2 linked regions of the Cricetulus griseus genome follow. The protein of the gene in region 1 purifies or fractionates together with the protein of each later gene. This does not show direct contact. Links are inferred from orthologs where the notes say so. Each region holds a gene or a part of one and is shown in the gene's direction. Other genes may lie near its edges.

Region 1 (7,701 bases):
TAGGTCCTGGTGGAGGCCTGGCAGACACTTACCAATTAACCCATCTGCCCAGCCCTTCCCTTGGGGTTTTTACTAGAATTACATTAATTGCACAAAGTAAAGGACATTTCCACGTATATATGTAAGCATGCTTTGATCATCTCATCCTTTCTTACCCCTCCCATCACATTTCCCCTTCATCCTTCCTGCTAATCCCCCTCTTCCTTTCAGCTTCGGATTCTTTATAAGTCAGAAAACATGTGGTACCTTGTGAAAATGGCTTACTTCACTCAACATGACGGTCTCCAGTCGTCTCATCCACCTCCCTACAAACAAAAGTGCATTCTTTATAGTTGAATAAAATTCCATTGTACATGTATACAGAATTTTAAAAATTTATTTCTATTTTTTATGTATGAGTGCTCTGCTTATATACCTGCAGGCCAGAAGAGGGCATCAGAGCCTATTATAGATGTCTGTGAGCTACCACATGGTTGCTGGGAATTGAACTCAGGACCTCTGGAAGAGCAGCCACTCTCAACCACTGTGCCATCTCTCTGAGTCCCTTGTTTTTGTTTTGTGTGTATGTGTGTCTTTCTTCATTCTTCCTTCTTTTTTCTTCTTCCTCCTCCTCCGTTTTTTTTCTTTTTCTTTTTTTCTATTTTTTTGGTTTTTCAAGACAGGGTTTCTCTGTGGCTTTTTTTGGAAGCTGTCTTGGAACTAGCTCTTGTAGACCAGGTTGGTCTCGAACTCACAGAGTTCCACCTGCCTCTGCCTCCCGAGTGCTGGGATTAAAGGTGCATCACCAACGCCCGGCTTTTCTTTTTTTTTTAATATTTTATTTATTATGTATACAACATTCTGCTTCCATGTATGTCTGCACATGAGAAGAGGGCACCAGATCTCAGAATGGATGGTTGTGAGCCACCATGTGGTTGCTGGGAATCGAACTCAGGACCACTGGAGGAGCAGTCAGTGCTCTTAACCTCTGAGGCATTACTCCAGCCCCTCCTCCTCCGTTTTTCCAGACAGGATTCCAGGCTGTCCTGGAACTAGCTTTTGTAGACCAGCCTGGTCTCGATCTCACAGAGATCCACCTGCCTCTGTCTCCTGAGTGCTGGGACTAAAGGTGTGCAGCACCGCTCCCCCCCCCCCCCCGAGCTTCTTTTTTTTTTTTTTTTCTATTTTTAGACAAGATTTCTCTGTGCAGCCCTGGCTGTCCTGAAACTTGCTCTGTAGACCAGGTTGGCCTGGAACTCAGGTTTCCACCTTCCTCTGCCAACCGAGTACTGGGATTAAAGGTGTTAGCAACCATTCCCAGTTATATACAGAATTTTCTTCATCCATTCATTTATTTTTAGACACTTAGGCCGACTCTATAATGTACTGTGCATCAGTAAATACGTGAATATGGGTATTTCTATAGTAAACTAAATTGATTCTTGCAGGCATATACCAGAACTGGTGCGGCTGGATTATGTAGTGGTTCTAATTTTAATTTTAGGAGAATGTTTAAACTGATTTCCATAGTGAATGGAATTCCCGTCAGCAGAATTTCACTTGTCCCTAGTGTGACTACCGTTTTAAATTGTATGTGTGGTCCACGTATTTTTATTGGACAGTATTTCTCTAGAAGGTTCTAAAGGTTAAGAAAAAACCGGAGCAGAGAGGGGCGTTGTTCTTGGTGGTTGTTTTGATACAGGGTCTGATTATGTAGCCCAGGTTGGCCTTGGATTCAAGATGCTCCCGCTACGCTTAGCCTCTCCAGTGTTGGAGGTTTGGAGTGTGCCTCTCCCGCCCTGGGGCTGTAAATGAACCGCAGGCGACCAAAGCAACAGTCCGGGTGGTCTGTCATTCGCGAGGTGTCAAACACGCCAAGTCAAGTCGCCTGGACCTAGTCCGAGTATCCACCCTGGGTCTGTCAAAGCGACGAAGGGCGAGCGGCACACGGGGCTCGCACGCCGGTGCAGGGCCGCAGGGTCCGCAAGCCCCGTTACCCCATTCATTACCAGCGCTCCCGGCGAGCGGCCGTTAAAGCAGCAGCGTCCTGAGACACCCGCCAGGGCGTCGGGGACGTCTGCACGACGCCTAAGAAGCGGCCGGGCCGCACTGTCACCCGAGCGGTCTCCGCTCCTCGGCGAGCCCCCGCTTCGGCCCGGTCTCCCCCGGAACTGCTCGGCGGCCGAGACTCCGGCGCGCCGCCCTGTGGCGGCGGGACGCGGTCGGGGCCCGGGCGCCGGCGCGCGCAGACGCAGTTGGGTTCCGGCGGCGGTTCGGGCCGGAAGCGGTGGCCCCTGAGGTCACTTCCGGCGGGTGACGGTGCGGACGGGTCAGGAGCGTAGAGGCGGCGGCAAAATGGCGGCGCCTGAGGAGCAGGATCTAACTCAGGAGCAGACCGAGAAGCTGCTGCAGTTTCAGGTAGCAGCGAGTTCTCGGTGCAGCGCAGGCCGCCGCGGGATGGGGAGCGGGGCCCTAGAGGAGCGCCGAGCCATCCTCAGGTTGGGGTTGGGCCCCTTTTCAGAGCGGCAGGCGGCCCCCTCCCCCCCGACGCCAACTGCCCGGCCCCCCGGCCCCGAGCTCTGTCGGTAGCCAGCCTTCCAGCCTCCGCCGGGCCAGCCGCCCCGGGTCCCCGTAGCGGCGCGGGCCCGGCTCGCGCGCGCGCGGCCCCTCCGCGCCCGTCGACTGCTGGTGTGCTGTGCTAGAGACCCCAAGTCCCCATCGCGGAGTTGGCGTCAGCTCGCGGGTCCGGACCGCCCACCACCGCCCCGCGCCTTCCACAGCCGAGGCCGAGGGTCTCTTGGTCTCGGGGTCTTGCGTTGAGGGCCGTAGTAGGGAAGGAAGCGCTACACACAGCCCTGGCCCCTGCCCTAGAGAAGTGGGAGGACGCCACATGAGGAAACAATGCGACGTTAAGTACCATCGATGGCTTCTGACCGGATCTTGTTACCTTCGGCTCTCTCCTGAACTGCTGGCTCTCCTGGAGGGTGGAAACTTGCAGGACTCGGCCTCCTCTTAGTGGATGTTACGTTAACCAAAAAAAAAAAAAAAAAAAAAAAAAAAAAAAAAAAAAAAGGCACTAAGCACTTAACCGAGGTGGAGGGTCAGCATGGAGGAGACCACCGTGGTGGTCACCGTGGCGTTATTAGCCAGTTGCCTTAGTTCTTAAATGCATGACTTCAAAATGTCTGTCCCCTTGAGGGTGCTTTGGAGGTAAACTGGAGTCTATGGATGTTACAAGGTATTGAAAGGACTTTGTAAACAGTCAAAATGTGCCTAAACGGTTGCTGCTATCAACGTTTGACTTCAGATAGAACTACAGTTACTAGAACTCGTTTTCTAATAGGGAACGTGCTAAATACTCATTTTGAGCAGTTCTTAGTGCCAGACACTGCTTGTTAGAATGCCGCCCACTAAATGTGTGAGACTGTCACTAACATTGAGCATGTTACCTCGATTAGTACACAGCCCAATGGCGTTCTACTGTGACAGCCCCTGTCTCATACATGGCTATGGATTGTAAGAAGTAGCACCAGTGGGTGTGGCCCAGGACGGTAATCTCCGAGGACAGGAGGTGGAAGCTGGAGGATTGCGATTTTCTGGCCAGCCTTTTCCAAACAAAAGGAAGCAGCGTGCTTAGGTCACACAGCTAGTCGTTGGTGGTGTCACATAAGCACAGTCTTTGAGCCCTTCGTGGGCTTTTGATGTCTCTGCTGTACAGTCTGTGTGTAAGAGTGTGTATGTAGTTAACAGTGGGCTGTAACTGCTCTGATGTTGATTTTGTGTGTTCGAGTGTGTTGTTAGGCAATGTGTTGGGAGCGTGTAAATGGTAAAGTACTATCATAGGCATAGCTGACATTTTCGTGGAGTTTATAATAGAGAAATTGATGACACCAGATTAGAATTAAAGAGTGAACAGTCAGCCTTTGCTTCTTTGCAGACTACTACTTTCAGGGTTTTATTTACCTTGGCTAGACTACACTTTACAACTCTTAGGGGTAAGCCGTGTGTGAGTGTGAGTATATATGGCGATGTTTGTGTGATAAAGAGCTTGAGGAACTCCTCATCTTCTTCAGTGGACATTGTCAGAAACGGGGTGGCTGGCAAGTTAATATTGTCATAAGATTAATACACCTGTCAAGGTGTATGAAGTTGAATTTATTAAGAAAATGCATTTTGTATTTTTGTGTTCTATAAGCAAGCCTGGATCAGATTTATCTTCTCAGACTGCTCTTAAGTATTGCTTGACATACACAAACGTCAGATGTTATAACCTTAAACTTTTTTAGATGACTGTTAACCTGTTTGGTCAGATAATTTGCACAAATAGTGCTTTGCATATATTTAGAAATCCACATTCATGAGTGTTGTGTTTGTATCCTAATGTTGAAGCCAAGGTACATAACATGAATAATAGGAGCTCCCAGAAAGCCCTCTGGGGTGTATGTCTGTGTGTCTATGTGTGTGTCTCTGTGTCTTTGTCTTTGAGTTTAGACACAAGTAAACCTACTGATGGTGAAGGCGGAAGGAAGGAAGGAAGGATGGTTTAGAAGTTAATATTTGTTACCTACTATGCTTTAAGATGATGCATAACCATCATGCTCAATCCACACAGTTACCTTGTAAAAGTACAAAGGGTGTTGTGCCTTCTATGGTATCTGGTACAGAAACAGATCTGTTGACTTATTTGCTTTAGGTCCTGAAGCTGTTCGTGGAGATCTAGTGGGTCTAGCTGTGGCCTGAAAGTCTGAGCTCTTAGCACAAGACCTTTCGGTTTTGAAGAGGGTTGGAATTTGAGCAGATGGCGGGCAGGAGAATGTTTGAAGCTGGGAAAGTGGGCTTCTCACTTGGAGATGGGAAGGTGTGGACATATCTGTTGTAGGAAGTAGACCGGGAGTGACAAGGTAAACTAGAGCCAGATTTTGGAGACCTGTCAATACTATGCTCAATTCAGTAGGCAGAGACAGTCATGAGAGCTTTTCTTAACTAGGGAGTGACACCACCACCAGGTTTGGGGTTTGCTTCTCCAGGATTATGGGTCATGTGCTTGGAATTTCCATGGGTGTCAGAATAGAACAGGGTGGCACTGCTGACAGCCAGTTTTCTGTGTGGGTCCATGTTTCACAAGGTACAGTTGAACCAGGCATGTTGGTTCACACCTGTAATGGCAGTGCCAGCACTTGAGAGGTTAAGAGGATTGCTAGACTGGGCAGTGGTGGTGCACACCTTTAGTCCCAGCACTGGGGAGGCAGAGTGGATCTCCGAATTCGAGGCCAACCTGGTCTACAGAGGAGTCCCAGGCCAACCTGGTCTACAGAGGAGTCCCAGGACAGTCAGGAATACACAGAGAAACCCTATCTAGAAAAGCCAAAAAGAAAAGAGACGGAGGGAGGGAGGGAGGGAGGGAGGGAGGGAGGGAGGGAGGGAGAGAGAGAGAGAGAGAGAGAGAGAGAGAGAGAGAGAGAGAGAGAGAGAGAGAGAGAATTGGTATAAGTTCAGGCCCGGCCTGGGCTACATACTGAGTTTCAGGTTATCCTACAAGGTGAGGTCTCCAAAAGCCTAAATAAATGAATTAGTGAAAATAAAACATTTCAGGAAATTGAGATTTCTTATGTTTCTTTTTGTGATGTGATTGGGTTAGAATTTTCTAAAGCATGTGCATCATGTTTCTCAGTCCATTTGATATTTTTAAGTTTGTTTTTGTTTTGTCTTATGTGTGTATAATTCTCATGGCTCTGGTTTATTTTAGCTGAGTTTATATTAGCTGAGTGGAATAATGTAGACACTATGTTTTGAGCTATTTCCACTAGAAAATAATAGGTATATAAATTTAAAGACGAGCTGATGTAGATGTGTTTTAAATTACTTTTATTGGAGTCAGTGTCCACAAATTTTCAAATATATAGACTTCTCCAGTGCTTTAGTTTACTGCCTCTGGGCTGGTGTTTTAGCACCAAGGCAGGGATGGCATGCTCAGAAAGAAAGGAGTGATTGTACCATTCCCTAGGAGGAAGTGATCCCCTTCTGCTTGCACAGGAATGTCATTTTGTTTGTTTAATTAGAGAACTCGTTACATTTTATTTATTTAAATGTGTGGGTGTGGGGCCACACATGCCACAATACATGTGGAAATCTAAAGACACTTTGTGAGAGGCGATTGACCCTTCTGCCCTGTGGGTTCCAAGGGTTGACCTCAGGTGTCAGGCTTGTCAGATAGTGCCTTCAGTCACTGAGCCGTCCTGTCAGCTCTCTTTGTTTATGAGAAAGGGGTTCGCTGGGTGGCCTATGTAGGCCAGTCTTACCTTAGCTACTACTTGGGGATAGAGATGACAGGTGGCTACCTCCATACTTGGCTGAAAAAAAAATTTTTTTTGTTTGTTTTGTTTTGTTTTTCAAGACAGGTGTCTCTGTGTAGTTTTGGAGTCTATCCTGGCACTCACTCTGGAGACCAGGCTGGCCTCAAACTCACAGAGATCCGCCTGCCTCTGCTTCCTGAATGCTGGGATTAAAGGTGTGTGCCACCAACGCCGGCAAAAAAACAATTTGTAAGTGGATAACAAGGCATGACTCATATTCTCTTAAGTTATTTAAAAAAGAGCTGGAGAGATGATGGCTCAGTGCTTAAGAGCACTAGCTGTTTTTCCAGAGGCCCCAGGTTCAATTCCCAGCCCTCACATGGCAGCTCACAGCTGTCTGTAACTCCAGTTCCAGGGGATCTGATACCTTTATGCAAATAAAATAAAGTCAAATTATTTTTTTTAAGTTATTTAAAGCCTGGATTGTAGAAGCAAATCTATAAGTAATTTTTTGGAGTTTCCATTTGGGAATTGGAAGTTGTGGTGAGTACATGATAGTTGCCATTCATCCGTTTAAAAAAATCACAGTGATTTATTTGAGTTTTGATTTCTCTCTTCTTCTAATCCTGGCCAAGGAAAGCTACTAGTGAGTTTTACAGTCTTGGGTGAGTTCTCACATTGAGTGTCTCTCTCTCTCTCTCTCTCTCTCTCTCTCTCTCTCTCTCTCTGTGAAATGGGAGTGCTATATTATGTGATGGACATTATCCATTTTCTTTTTCTAAAAGAAATAATCCTGGCTGGGTGTGGTAGTGCACGTCTCCAATCCCAGCTCTTGGAGACAGGCTGGTGGATCTCTGTGAGCTCAAGGCCAGCCTAGTCTACAGAGCGAGTTCTAGGACAATACAGAGAAACCCCGTCTTGAAAAACAACATTTTTGACAGTTTCATACATGTATACAATGTATTTGTTTTGTTTTTGATTTTTGAGACAGGTTCTCTATGTAGCCCTGGCTGTCCTGGTAGTATATAGACCAGGCTGGCCTGAAACTCGGAGGTCCCAGTGCCTCTGCCTCCTGAGTGCTGACATTAAAGGTGTGGCCACCTTGCCCGGCCTGTACAATGTATCTTGAGTATATGCATCCCCAGTTCCTTCCTCAGCAGACATCTCAACACATTCCCTTCCCACCTTGATGTCTTTTTCTTTTTTGAATAACCCACTAAGTTCAGTTATTGCTGCCTGTTGCAATATTGACATAATCTGAGCTTGATTTTTTGCGGACAGTCTTAGCTGACATGAATTCATGAGTGCGAGGGCTGTGTCTTATCCAGAAGATACCACTCTTCAGCTCTTAGCATTGTCTCCACTCCTCCTTTCGGAACCTTGTGGGAGGAAGGGAGCCGATAGGAATGACCTATTTAGAGTTGAGCAC
Region 2 (7,820 bases), on another chromosome or scaffold:
GCATTCAGACTCCTCTATTCTGTTCTTTAAAGACCTGGATCTGGCACAAGACAATGTTCCCATCAGCAACCTATTTTTCTTCATTTTTTTCTGTGTAGTCCTGGGACCCATTTATCGTCCAGGCTGGCCTTGAACTTACAGAGATCTGCCTGCCTCTGTTTCCTGAGTGCTGAGATTAAAAGTGTACACCACCATGCCCAGCTACCATCAGCACTCTTTGTTCTTATCTGACTAGTGTCCTTGTTTCCCCCAGGAAGCCATTTTTATTTGATTTGCTTTGTTTGGAAACAGAGTATCAAATCCTCCAGGCTGCCCTGGAACTGGCTATGTAACTGAAGGATGATCTTAGATTGCTGTTTCTCTTGCCTCTACCTCCCAAGTGCTAGGATGACAGCAGTGAGCCAGGATACATAGCCCCTCCAGGAAACAGTTTAGTTCATTCCTACAGTGCTGTCACAGCATCTTGAAACTAGTGTGAAATGGGCTAGTGGTGACAGGGTTAGAGATCGCTCTCCTACAGCCCTTAGTACTAGCTACTACTTAGTAAGGTTACCAAAGTAGTCAAGTCCAGAGAATTGGGAGACTGAGTGGGGTTTTCTATATGTTGGTGACCTCTCTTGAGGGCTGAGAAGCTTGAGGCAGCTGTGCTGGAGGAGGAGATGGCTGAATGACATTCAAGGACCAGCAGTATCCCCAAACTAGAAGTAAAAGGTTCTTTGAGAGCCCCGTGCTCCTGAGCTTGCAGTTTCTCCTCTTCATTAGCCATTTTCTTTGCCCCTTCTCTTTTCAGGGAAAGCCCTGCTATCAAGAAAGACCACACAGGACTAGGACCTTCCCATGGACCCTTCTCAGGACACTACAACAGCACAAGCAAGGGTGTTCCCCTAAGACACGAGGGCCCTACGAACACTATCCTTTGAAAGGTGCCATGGTGGTCAGGAGAAGCAAAGGTAGCTCCAAGCAGTTGCCTGGCCTGGGAGGACAGGGTGGTTGTACAGGTCTCATAGTTATGCTCGGAACTGCCTTGCTGCTCATAAGCCTGCCATGGGGGGCCCAAGTGATGGCCAGTGCCAACCTCAGCACTGCTCAGGGCCACACTGTGCCACTGACAGGTGGTCACTATTTGAGCATTGGGGATGGTTCAGTGACAGAGTTTGAGTTCCCTGAAAAGAGTGAGGGTATCATTGTGATCTCTAGTCAGTACTCGGGACAGGCCAATGGAACAGGCCTCAGCCCTACACTGAGGGTTATATCCCTGGACACAGAGGTGCTGACCATCAAGAATGTAAGTGCCATAACCTGGGGCAGTGGGGGTGGCTTCGTGGTGAACATCCACTCAGGTCTGGCTGGGCTGGCCCCACTCCACCTCCAGCTCATGGACCTCCATGAGACCCCACCTTTGCTGATTGAAGAACGGAGAGATTTCTGCATCAGGGTGTCACCTGCTGAAGACATCCCTTCTACCCTCAACCCCAACTTGGGCCACTTCTCAGAGAACCCAATCCTCTACCTGCTCCTGCCTCTTATCTTTGTCAACAAATGTTCATTTGGGTGCAAAGTGGAACTTGAAGTTTTGAAGGAGCTCCTACAGAGCCCCCAACCCATGCTGTTGGGCCTCTTGGGCCAGTTTCTGGTCATGCCCTTCTATGCTTTCCTGATGGCCAAAGTCTTCATGCTACCTAAGGCCTTAGCTCTTGGCCTCATCATTACCTGCTCATCACCTGGCGGTGGGGGGAGCTACCTCTTCAGTCTCCTCCTTGGAGGAGATGTCACCCTGGCCATCTCCATGACTTTCATCTCAACAGTAGCTGCCACAGGTTTCTTGCCACTTTCATCAGCCATCTACAGCCGCCTTCTCAGCATCCATGAAACACTCCACGTGCCCATCTCCAAGATACTGGGGACTCTGCTGTTCATCGCCATCCCCATAGCAGCAGGTGTGGTAATCAAGTCTAAGCTCCCTAAGTTCTCAGAGCTGCTGCTACAGGTCATCAAGCCCTTCAGTTTTGTACTTCTCCTGGGTGGCCTATTCCTGGCCTACCACATGGGGGTCTTCATCTTAGTGGGAGTCAGGTTACCCATCGTACTGGTGGGCTTCACAGTGCCCCTGGTTGGCCTTTTGGTGGGCTACAGCCTAGCCATGTGCCTGAAGCTGCCAGTGGCCCAGCGGCGGACAGTCAGCATTGAGGTAGGGGTACAAAACAGCTTGCTAGCTTTAGCTATGCTGCAGCTGTCTCTGCGTCGCCTTCAAGCAGACTATGCCTCTCAGGCCCCCTTCATTGTGGCACTGAGTGGTACCTCCGAGATGCTGGCTTTGGTTATTGGCCAGTTCATCTACAGCAACTTGTTTCCTGTTCCATGAGGACCCTGGATCAAGTTTTATAACCCCAGCCCCCATACTCCATCCACTGTCCCCACAGTTCTGTACCAAAGGCCTTTTGTTCTCATGCACTATGCACTCAGACAAATCCAGGCTTTTTTTTTCCAGCTTTCAGTGCCAAAGAGGCCATGCTGAGTTAGAAATATATTTCAATAAAAGACAAAAGCAAGCTTGGGTCCCTTCCAGTCTTTGTCCCTTGGAGTGTATGGATGGGGATAGGAAGAGTGTGTCTGGGTTGATATGGACCAGGATGGTGAACAGGCTTGGTGACCGTGCACAGAGCCCACTCTCTCCTTCCTCTGTGCTTTGCACATGGTAGACAAGTGTTGTACCTTTGAGCTATATCTCCAGATCTGCAAAGGCTTTTCTCTATCAGAACAGGGCAGGACTCTGTTCTATAATGAGTGAAGAGATAGAGGCCTAGGTCCACTACTTTGGAGCCTCGGCCAGGATATTTTTGCAACCAGACTAGAAAGGAAGAAGTAGAAAGCCATTGGGCTATGGCAGGTAGGACTGGACCATTTCTGTATCTGAGAGACACTACTACATGTTTGCCCTGATGTGGTCCACCAGCAGGGTAGGAATTAACAGGTCAGGCCTTGCATGAGGCTGACATTCTGGTCCTTCCTTTCAAGCCACAGCTCCCCGGTGAAGCAAGCCTGACCCTACAGATTCCTCGCTCCTATCCCAGTGGGCGGAATGGCCCCACTTCCCTGCACCAAAGCCGCTGGAGGCTTGTGGGCCCAGGGCGGTGGACGCTACCCCAGGCTCAGGCAGGCGCAAAGGCCTGGAGGCGGGACCGGGCGGGAGCCACGCGGCGGGCTCGCCCCTTTCACGGCTTCCGGCGGCGGCGGGCGGTTCCGGCGCGCGCCCGGGGCAGCGGCGCGCGGCAGGGGACCATTGGGGTTTACATTGGTCCTAGTGGACGCGGCTGTGGGCATCATGCAGCTGACCGTGAAGGCGCTCCAGGGCCGGGAGTGCAGCCTACAGGTAAGGTTACCCTGCAGGCTGCTACACTCACACACTCCTGCCGCTGGGGCCAATGGCGGGCGGGGGAGGCCAGGAGAGCTAACCTCAGGAGGGGGCACTAGGGCTGCATCGCCCAGGGAATTCGGACTAAGCCCTTGCCTCTCCACCTCGGCCGGATCAGGTGCCGGAGGACGAGCTAGTGTCTACACTGAAGCATCTGGTCTCGGATAAGCTGAACGTCCCTGTGCGCCAGCAACGTCTGCTGTTCAAGGGCAAGGCCCTAACAGGTAACCAGGGAAAGGAGCCATCCAGGGACCCCCCACAGGAAGTAGGAAGTTGGAAGTTGGGGGACGGGATGTACAGGCCAGTGTAATGGATTAGAGCAGTGGCTGCCACTAAACCTTGGAAAAGTAGCTGAGACGCCACCACCCCATAGCCAGATGCTGCAGTGTTTCACTCTAGCTGTCCATGGCAGGATTGCTCTCTGGCCACCCCCACAACAATGAGGAAGGAACCCCACCAATCTCTCTTTGGCAGATGAGAAACGACTGTCAGATTACAACATTGGGCCCAATTCTAAACTCAACCTAGTCGTTAAACCTTTGGAGAAGGTGCTGCTGGAAGAAGGGTCTGCCCACAGACTGGTCGACTCCCCACCCCCACCCCTCTGGCAGCTGATCTCCAAAGTCCTGGCCCGTCACTTCAGTGTAGCAGATACCAGCAGGGTCCTGGAACAACTACAGAGGGTGAGCAGAATAATTCTGGACCTCCAATCTTAATGTTTCTAGCCCCAGCCCCCACCTATTACAGCATACCCCTTCCTGCTTGCACCCCCTGAACCCACCTGGTCTTCTCTTCTCAGGATTATGACAGATCTCTGAGCCGCCTAACACTGGATGACATTGAACGTTTGGCCAGCCGCTTTCTACACCCTGAAGTAACTGAGTCTATGGAAAAAGGGTTCTCCAAATAGCATTTCTGGGAGTGGGGGGAGAAATCCCAGGTCAGGCCACAGCTGCATGTTGCATTAAATGTGTTCTCATGTCGCAGTTTGGCTCATAGTGATAATAATAGCTGGTATGTACCCAGTTCTTGCTAGGTGCTAAGCACTACTCAAAGTACTTGGCCTGAATTCTCTTCTGCCTTCCACAGGACAGTTGAGGCTGCACTGTAGAAACACCTAGCAATGGCTTGGGACAGCCAGAATCCAAGTCTAGCCAGCTGTAGAAGTGCCTCTGTAGGAGAAAGAGTGTGTTGTTTTGAGGGATGGGCCTTAACATTCCCATTTAGCCCACTCAACATACACACTCAAGTGACTCCCTCAGGAAGCCACTAGTCCCTGTCACCTGTCCTCTAGTATGTCTGGCATACCCTTGGCAAATCTCCATAGGAAGCCAAGTGGTAGCCATCCAGAGTCCCTCTGCTGCTGCAGCCAGTGTGCTCTTGATGAATGACAAAGTCAGGGGCTGGAGGATCAGAAAGATACCCTAGCTCCGTTGTATGGCTTAAGTCAAGTTTCTGTGCCACTTAGGTCCCCTACCATTGAGTCTGTTAGTGGTGACCACTCCTCTGACCTGAATAAGTTTCCTTCCCTCTTTCCCGGCTCAAGGTGGGAGTCTGCTATCACCAACTGCAGTGCCATCTTGTGTTCAGTAAGCAAACTGAAGCCAAAAGTGAAGTGGTAGCCAAGCATGGGCCACAGATGGAATATCCTGGGCCTTTGTGACATAGCTCTTCTTGGGGGGACCCTATCTGCTTGGCTCCTCCTGGAAGTCGGTCTCATCCATGAGGGACAGCAGGTGACTCCACAAAGCAGTGTCACAACTAGGATTCTTCCTGGGTCTCCTCACCCAGCGTTCTCCCACAGCATGAGACGGATGCTTCCTCTGCCACCTGTGTACAGGGACTTTCAGTTTGCACACCTTCATTGCTTAAGAAGAAACTCAGGGTGCTGAGGAGGAGATAGAAATGTAAGCTGAAGACAGTGGTTCTTCTTTTCACTGAACCTATGCCTGGGTGCTAAAGGTCATGTAAGTACTAGCTCCTTTGAGGAGGACCCCCTGGGAGCAGTTGAGGCTGGAAGATAGCCACCTGCAGGACATTACTCCTGCCCCTCCACTCTTGCCAAGGAAGCAACTCTGAATGTTGTTGGGACTACACTGGCCTTTCTTGCCCAACGGCCTCCTGCATGGGCTTTGGGCCTTGTGGGACAAATCTTGACTCCCCATAATGGAATGATAAACTAAAGTGAGGCCTGAGGGGATGAGCAGCTGGTAGACCCTGCTCCTCCCTGAGACCTGGGGTACCACATCAGGGACCTGCTTGTGAGCACATATGTGGACTGGCAGCTCAGATAATAAGCTTACCAATGTCCTTGTTCACTTTGAGTCAGGGAATGTATTTGGAAAATTAAATAACACTTAAGGTGCATGTGAGACTTTTTACCAAGACGAACTCTATTAATAAACTAGTCTGCTTTTGGTTTCAAATAATTGGTTTAACAACACAGGAAACTTACTGGCTTACAAAAGTGAAAAAGCCCAGGAGTACTGGCAGTTGATGAACAATTTCACCAAACATCCAGCTTTTTTCCTGCCTCCCTCTGAATTCTCCAGCATCTGCTTCATCCTCACCACTACTTCCAAGGATCAAAGGGTGGCTGCCTGCAGCTTCATCAAACCATTTGCTGCCAGCAAGGAGCACTTTCTCTCTGTAACATAGCTTCTGTCTCAGATGCCCCAGCAAATAAATGCTCTCTTATTGGTCAGAACTGAATCCTGTGTAATCACTGGGGCTTGGCATATGGAAAAAGGATTTGTTGGTTATCAGTTAACACCTACTCAGGTAGTCTTGATCTGCTTTCCTGGGCACATAGGAGCTGTACCAAGAAGGAAAAGTAAATGCATGTCCTGGTGGATGCATATGGCAACTCTCCACTACAGGAAACATCTGAGCCAGAAAGAGTATGACCCCTTGGAGATAGTAAAGGAGAAAGGGATGAGGGCTCAGACAAGGAGTGTTTTCTGAGACTTGCATCCAAATGCATTTAAAGTTTCTAAATGCAGAGGAAACAAACCATAGACATGTTCATGAGTCTCTTGAGCCAATGCTTCTCAATTCAGGGTGTACAAAGCCTGCAAGATCCTCACCTTGGCCAAAGAAAGGACAGTGTTTAGACGAGTTTATGGGACAATTGGTATGTATTGCAGTGCAGCTACCTATAGAGCAAGAAACTAAATAAAGGGTTCTTCAGGAATTGGGCTATGGCTGAAACAAAACTCACAAGTGTAGGAAGGAGTTGCGAAAGGGATCCAATGATATCTGATTGCCTTGGGATGCTGGGGTAACTGTATGTGGGAGGTAAGGGACAGGGGAGGTGAGATTGGACATGGAGATGAGTGAAGTGCCCTCAAAATATGAATTGAGGGCCCTGTAATGGAAAAGCTGATCCAGAAAAGCAAGAAGGGGACTCCTTTTGATAGTCAGCTCTTGTATTGTTAATGAACCTTTTCTTTGCAGAGCACTTTTCTCATTTCATTCTCATCTGACTGCCAAATGTAAGAAGTGGATGAGGAACAACTTGAATCCATACTGCTATACCCAGGAATGTTCTGTAGACAGAGTCCTAGATACTGGAAGGATGATTGAGGTAGCTGCCCAGAGAAGGGGGCTAACAAAAAGGAGAGATCTCAGCCTCAAGGAGCCAGCTTCACTAACCAGAGGGGAGTTTAGAAGGGAGCCACAGGCAAAGGCATGGGCAATAGGTGGTGTCAAGTGCAAGTCAAGGGCAAGTTTGCAGAAGGGAGAGACCATCAGTGCTGCCACTACAGGAAGATGGTGGACCCTCTCTCTGGAGTTCTTAATATATAGCCAAAGAATCCTCAAGAATCTGTTACTCCACAAGATGTGTGTACGAAGGAATGGAGGCAAATAGGTTTCAAACCTGGGACAAATGGCTGAGATGCCTATTTAACATCAAAGCAGACTTGGCCTCCGGATTCTCTAGCATCCCTCAGTACCTACTTTTTACAGGCCATCCTGGCTGGCATACTTGGCCCCCTATCCTGAACTCTCCAGCCCAGGGGACTGGGCTGCTCTTCTCTCTATAATCCAACCATTTTGGCTACTCACTCTCTTTGTACATTTGAGCCTCCTAGCTACTGCCCCTGGTTCTCCTACCTTTCCCTCACCACTCTTTTCACAGGGTTCAGGGATATGTTCACTCAGGACTCTTCCCAGATGTCCCTGCCTCTGGCTATGCTCTCTCACATATCTATAATAAACTTTCTCCTCCACCATGCCTAGGAGCATTCATGCTCATTTCCTTTTCTTTTAGTTTCTTTATTCATTCAATATTAAGCCTTGGGGAGTTCTGTCAGGGCAAGAGTGGCAGAGAAGAGGAGGGAAGACAAGAGGTGACAAATGCTGCTGGGATGAAAAATAGGAAGGGGGACATAAGAGGCTGGGAACT

Evidence for each region.
Region 2: the proteins of Faf2 (region 1) and Ubl4a purify together in Homo sapiens (affinity purification with mass spectrometry; 3 studies listed by BioGRID and IntAct, with this or other methods). This does not show direct contact. The link is inferred for Cricetulus griseus from reciprocal best matches to the Homo sapiens genes FAF2 and UBL4A.

What each region holds. Positions count from the first base shown.
Region 1 is NC_048596.1:273,650,888-273,658,588, forward strand, and holds the start of Faf2 (FAS-associated factor 2), read left to right. Parts: upstream 1-2,334; coding exon 2,335-2,397; intron 2,398-7,701. UniProt on the Homo sapiens protein: Plays an important role in endoplasmic reticulum-associated degradation (ERAD) that mediates ubiquitin-dependent degradation of misfolded endoplasmic reticulum proteins.
Region 2 is NC_048604.1:1,345,677-1,353,496, forward strand, and holds Ubl4a (ubiquitin-like protein 4A), read left to right. Parts: upstream 1-3,208; 5' UTR 3,209-3,322; coding exon 3,323-3,370; intron 3,371-3,530; coding exon 3,531-3,636; intron 3,637-3,886; coding exon 3,887-4,095; intron 4,096-4,211; coding exon 4,212-4,286; coding exon of another isoform or gene 4,287-4,322; exon of another isoform or gene 4,323-4,958; coding exon 4,959-5,075; 3' UTR 5,076-6,124; downstream 6,125-7,820. Other genes in the region: Slc10a3 (P3 protein), read left to right, coding at 929-2,362. UniProt on the Homo sapiens protein: As part of a cytosolic protein quality control complex, the BAG6/BAT3 complex, maintains misfolded and hydrophobic patches-containing proteins in a soluble state and participates in their proper delivery to the endoplasmic reticulum or alternatively can promote their sorting to the proteasome where they undergo degradation.